Saccharomyces cerevisiae S288C: one gene and its partner. The protein of the gene in region 1 purifies or fractionates together with the protein of each later gene. This does not show direct contact. Each region holds a gene or a part of one and is shown on either strand. Other genes may lie near its edges. The genes, in order: SDH3 and SHH4.

What was found.
Region 2: the proteins of SDH3 (region 1) and SHH4 purify together in Saccharomyces cerevisiae (affinity purification with western blotting; 2 studies listed by BioGRID). This does not show direct contact.

What each region holds. Positions count from the first base shown.
Region 1 is NC_001143.9:177,667-180,965, forward strand, and holds SDH3 (succinate dehydrogenase cytochrome b subunit SDH3), read left to right. Parts: upstream 1-2,000; coding exon 2,001-2,597; downstream 2,598-3,299. Other genes in the region: ribosome biogenesis protein LTV1, read left to right, coding at 1-506; MRP8 (Mrp8p), read left to right, coding at 849-1,508; TGL1 (sterol esterase), read left to right, coding at 3,113-3,299. UniProt on the Saccharomyces cerevisiae protein: Membrane-anchoring mono-heme cytochrome b subunit of succinate dehydrogenase (SDH) that is involved in system II of the mitochondrial electron transport chain and is responsible for transferring electrons from succinate to ubiquinone (coenzyme Q).
Region 2 is NC_001144.5:492,153-495,207, reverse strand, and holds SHH4 (protein SHH4), read right to left. Parts: upstream 1,326-3,055; coding exon 819-1,325; downstream 1-818. Other genes in the region: pseudouridine synthase PUS5, read left to right, coding at 1-714; MAS1 (mitochondrial processing peptidase), read left to right, coding at 1,954-3,055. UniProt on the Saccharomyces cerevisiae protein: Homolog of SDH4, but seems not to be a stoichiometric subunit of either the succinate dehydrogenase (SDH) complex or the mitochondrial inner membrane translocase TIM22 complex.

The DNA of each region.
Region 1 (3,299 bases):
GTTTAGACAGTGTAAATCCCTCTGAAGAGGAAGATGTGCTGGGCGAATTGCCCTCTATCCAAGACAAAAGCAAGACGGGGAAGAAGAAAAGAAAGAGCCGTCAAAAAAAGGGTGCCATGTCAGATGTATCTGGATTTTCCATGAGTTCAAGTGCCATTGCGCGTACAGAGACGATGACAGTACTGGATGATCAGTACGATCAAATCATCAATGGTTACGAAAATTATGAGGAAGAACTAGAAGAGGACGAAGAACAAAATTACCAACCATTTGACATGTCAGCAGAAAGATCTGATTTTGAGTCAATGCTTGATGACTTTTTGGACAATTACGAACTGGAGAGTGGTGGCCGTAAACTGGCTAAGAAAGATAAAGAAATTGAAAGGCTGAAGGAAGCTGCTGATGAAGTAAGCAAAGGTAAACTGTCTCAGAGAAGAAATCGTGAAAGGCAAGAGAAAAAGAAACTTGAGAAGGTCACCAATACACTAAGCAGCTTAAAATTTTAGAGGAGTAGAATGAGATGAGAAAGCACCTACATTACAAGTACTGTGTAGACATGTATACTTAGCCTAGAATGCATTGATGCTAAAATACATCCTGCCCACCGGGTAATAATTATGAAACGCGGCGGTGCTCTTTGTGGATTTCGGAGAAAGGGGGTGGAGGAAGGAGGTCGATTTTCATTATTCAAATATTGTTTTAGTATAAAGAAAACCGGCGTGCATTGCTTCAAAGAGCCGTTCAAATTAGTAACCGTTTGAGATATCTTGTCTTACTACTCGTATTCCGCAGATAAAGTACATTTTAAGAAAGGAAGTAAATACACATAAATAAATAGCAGGAAGAAAATGTCTAACGAAATTGAATTACTGCAGAAGCAAGTCTCTGAATTACAAGACTTAGTGAAGAAGCAAAGTCTGATTATCTCTAAGACAGGAGAGCGTGTGCTGGAATTGCAGTTAGATAAACAAAAGCACGACGTAACTGATTTTGATTCGAAATTCTCTAAATCTATCTCGAAGAAATCAGGATCCGCTACTCAATTCGATGCCACTGATTTTGCCACAAATGAAGATCTAGTGGAATTAGTCAAAGAACTACAGGGTGAGCTAAATTTCATCGAGGAAAGGTCTATCAGAAGACTTGTTAACTCTTTGAAAAAAGATGATGATGACGTTATAGCGCCACTGCCTAATGCAGATGGTGATATTCCTGCTATTTCAGACGGAGTGTTCCCTAAGTCGTTGAAAGAATTTAAAGACATCCCAGACTTAAAACTGGTAAGACTTGCTAAATTCTACGAAAGATTGCCACCAACTCTAAAGGAACAAGAAGATTTTGAAAACTTCCTGGAAGGTAAGGTGGAAGCCTTTCACATTAATGAGACCACTGATGAAGAGATTTCTAAGGAGTTGGAAAAGTTCTCCAAAGATGAGCTAGATGATGCATTTAATGATGTTGCCCGCTATCTAGGTCTCTCCCTTAGAAGAGGAACCGAAATATGGTAAACAGAAAATGAAAAAAAATGAAAAATCAATGAATAAGAGGGCTTGAGTTCCAGGTTCTAGAAATTTCCCTCACTTATATATATATATATATCTATATACATATAGTTTTGAGTATATCATAACAGGATTCTCTTTCAATGAAACCTATGTTTTCCGCGGCATTGCAGTTAAAGGATGTTCTAGTGGTGAAAAAGAGAAGAAAAGAATTCAAAGTTTTCCTCCCATAAGTATACCTATACTTTTTATCTGTGATTGAAAGCTGTATACCAACAGCCTTCTATATATTACCTTGTATACCATTCAGTAGTCTTAAGCATCATCTAACTTTTGACCAGGTCCATTCTGATTGGCTGCGGTAGCCCGCTCCGTTTTCCGCTCTAAGCGTTTGGTACTTGTATAAATGTGCACTGGCATTATGATATCGAGATCCCCGCATAGAAATCTCAGGACCAACCAAAAATTGCCAATCACAAGCTCTAAGAATAATAAACGATGTCTGCAATGATGGTCAAGTTAGGACTGAATAAGTCGGCTCTATTACTGAAACCCTCCGCCTTTTCAAGAGCAGCTGCCTTGAGCTCCTCGAGGAGGCTGCTTTTTAATACAGCTAGAACAAACTTCCTTTCTACCTCACCATTGAAGAATGTGGCCAGTGAAATGAACACCAAAGCGGCAATTGCTGAAGAACAAATATTAAACAAGCAAAGAGCAAAGAGACCTATTTCTCCACATCTGACCATTTACCAGCCACAATTAACTTGGTACCTGTCTTCTCTTCACCGTATTTCGTTGGTGCTTATGGGACTAGGTTTCTACTTGTTTACTATACTCTTCGGAGTCTCTGGTTTATTAGGTCTTGGATTGACTACCGAAAAGGTTTCTAATTGGTACCATCAGAAGTTTTCCAAGATTACCGAATGGTCCATCAAGGGTTCCTTTGCTTACTTATTTGCAATTCACTATGGTGGCGCCATTAGACACTTGATCTGGGATACCGCTAAGGAATTGACATTGAAAGGCGTTTACAGAACTGGTTACGCTCTCATTGGTTTCACCGCCGTTCTCGGTACTTATTTATTAACTTTATGATTCTTTAAGGCGACGCACCTGTTTCTACACACAAATATATATATAGCCAATTTTATATATACGTTCCTATATATGACCCAATACCGCACTTATTTATTCTTTAAGATCTTTATAACCCAAAATGCCGATTAACACAAACCTATATTTACTAGGGGCACATTTTTTATTTTTTTGCCTTTCTGTAAAATACAATAGAGAAAATAAAGGAACAAACAAGAGGAAAAACAGGAAAAGATAGCGCAAGAGTAATCATATTCAACAAAATATCAGTGATTTTTTACAGATATCAAGATAATTTCTTTCCGGATACTTATTGAAGCTATTATTTGTTACTGGCAAGAAAAAGCAAACATAGGCGGTCATTTTTCTTTTGTATAAAGTAAATACAAGAAGAATTATTTTCGAGGAATAACTAGGTGTGCAGAGATATTAAGGAACAAGGAAAGAAGAAAGAAAACAATTCGAACAAAACTTTATTATTCTAGCACTATTTTAAAAAACTGTCTTTTGGCAAAATGTACTTCCCCTTTTTAGGCAGATTATCGATAACAGATTACATTATAGTCGTCTTGGTATACATAGAAAGCATTATTTCATCAGTCCTTAAACTTATACCACAACCAATGATTAACCTTTTCGAATGGCTAATAAATTTCTCAACGTCCTCCGATGACAATACCATCGAAGAAAAGTTAAGGTCAG
Region 2 (3,055 bases), on another chromosome or scaffold:
ATAGTTAATAAACCACCTGGCATACCTTCTCAACCACCAGACTGCAGAACATGGGGCAGGACACATCCTAATCTTGACCCTACTCCACTACTAGAAAGATTCAAGGCTATTTATTATTCACATAGAGAAGTAGAATTATGTCGTACTGTACATAGGTTAGACCATTGTGTTACGGGGGGGATGCTGATTGCAAAGACTAAAGACGGAAGTGTAAAATTCTCTAGATTTTTACAAAAGGGCGGCAACAACGGTTATAAGTTGCAAAGAAAGTATGTAGCTATTGTCGAGTCGTCCGGTCGTTTCAACAAACCAAATAACTATGAAATTAAATATGGTCCTAAATATAATTTCTTGATTTCACATGGTGGTAGGGAGATTACTAAGTTCAAAGAAGTTGACGAAAATTGTATTGTTTTACAATTGGTTACAGGAAAAAAACATCAGATTCGAAATCACGTCTCTCAAATTTTAAATCAGCCCATATTAAACGACAAGAGACATGGCAGCACTGTCAATTTTCCAGAGTTGTTCAATGACCAAATAGCGTTGCATTCAGCGTGCATAATAACGAAAATTGGCCTGCAAACTAAAACGCACTTGATACCTATGGAACACAATAATACTGGCCAACTTTGGTCAAGAAAATACGTCAATGAAGAGGGTGAGTTCACTTTGCCCATAAAAGAAGTCCTGTTGGAAAACTGGGACCAGTAAAATAAGCAATAAATAATCGGTTATTAAATTATTTCTAATACACATATATAACGAGAATAAAAAAGGTAGTCACCACTAACCAAACCATATTGATTAATTGATGATTACTGCCTCTTTTTTTCCACAGGTTTGTTATCCCATAATGATTTTAAAGAGGCAATAAGACCAGCTTCTTGACTCTCTAATTTATATATACCGACGAACGATAAAAAGGAGCCCAAGCTCAATAAATACATCGCGTAATGATGTACCTTTCCATAGACTCTTTCAGAAATATAGTCTATAATGCAAGACTGAAATCCGATATGACAATGACCTAGCAGGACCAAGGAAAGAAATGTGTCGGTAAAAGTGGAAATAGGGCCTGTAGTGACCAAGGGAACTGCGATCAGCGGAAGAACCGCTAAGGACAGTCCGCGCTCGACAATCCAATGGTACGAACCCTGAGCTCTGCTTTCGGGCGGCATATAAGAGGAATCATTTGCGGTCCCACTCACACCTCCAGGTTTCTGTGGAATCTTTGGCAGAAAAGGAATGGTAAAGGATCTGGCAATTGAAGTATGAAAAGCCCTTATTCTGCAGAGTGGTTTCAAAAACTTAGTCGATGACATTCCTACTTTCCTAAGAATTGGGGCAACCTTTTTGAGAATCGTTGCTGATTCATTAGAACTGATAAACGGTCTGTCCACTGGGGACTGAAAATATATAGGTTTGCTTCTATGAAATTCGACGTCAAAATTAAGGGATACCTATGGCCAGCGCCCTTCAACTGACGATTTTTAGTTATCATACGCGTCCCTTATTATCTTAAACCGTAATAAAAAATCGTTACTTCGGATAAGGGTACTCCAATCTGGATGTGAGAGTCTGATAGTACCATGTTAGAGCCGCGTTGAAGGTGCGAATCAGGGTTTTATTCTCCTTAAACTTGATCCCGTCCAAAGGAGTTAAGAAGTAAAATGCACGGCTTTACTAAGACTATATTTACGTATTAAATTCCTCAACACGTAGTGAGGAAAGCTAAAATGCTGAGCTTAATTTCTCAGCCAACAATGGGTGATACTACTGTTCAGTGCACAGATTAGATGACCAATATTATTTTCACGTATTTAGTGATATTCGTAATCGAGCTGGACTCATCTCTTTAGTAATAAGAAGTGAATTTGAACGCTATGGATAAATCATGATATCTTGCTCTCAGGCATCAAACTAGTGCGCAAAGTGATAGGTGATCATACAATGTTTTCAAGAACAGCATCCAAGTTCCGTAATACACGGAGGCTTTTAAGTACAATTTCCTCACAAATTCCAGGAACCAGAACCTCTAAACTTCCTAATGGGTTGACAATTGCCACAGAGTACATCCCCAACACATCTTCGGCTACTGTTGGAATATTTGTCGATGCTGGTTCTAGGGCAGAAAACGTAAAAAACAATGGTACAGCGCATTTTCTAGAACACTTGGCTTTCAAGGGTACTCAGAATAGGTCACAACAAGGAATTGAATTGGAAATTGAAAATATCGGATCTCATTTGAATGCATATACATCAAGAGAAAACACAGTTTATTATGCTAAGTCCCTACAAGAAGATATCCCAAAGGCTGTTGATATTCTAAGTGATATTTTGACTAAGTCAGTTTTAGATAATAGTGCTATTGAGAGAGAAAGGGATGTCATCATCAGAGAAAGTGAAGAGGTGGACAAGATGTATGATGAAGTTGTTTTTGACCATCTTCATGAGATTACGTATAAGGACCAACCTTTAGGAAGAACCATTCTGGGTCCTATAAAAAACATAAAATCAATAACAAGAACTGATTTGAAAGACTATATAACCAAGAACTATAAAGGCGACAGAATGGTATTGGCAGGTGCGGGCGCTGTTGATCATGAAAAATTGGTACAGTATGCTCAAAAATACTTTGGCCATGTGCCCAAATCTGAATCGCCTGTCCCGTTGGGATCACCAAGGGGCCCATTACCAGTTTTTTGTAGAGGTGAAAGGTTTATCAAAGAAAACACGTTACCTACAACACATATTGCTATCGCATTAGAAGGCGTGTCATGGTCTGCACCTGATTATTTTGTAGCTCTGGCAACACAAGCGATTGTTGGTAACTGGGACAGAGCCATTGGCACAGGTACAAACTCCCCCTCTCCATTAGCTGTTGCAGCAAGTCAAAATGGTTCTTTGGCTAATTCTTATATGTCATTTTCCACCTCTTACGCTGATTCAGGTCTGTGGGGAATGTACATAGTAACTGATTCTAATGAGCATAACGTGCAGTTAATTGTTAATGAGATCCTGAAAGAGTGGAAGAGAATAAAATCTGGCAAAA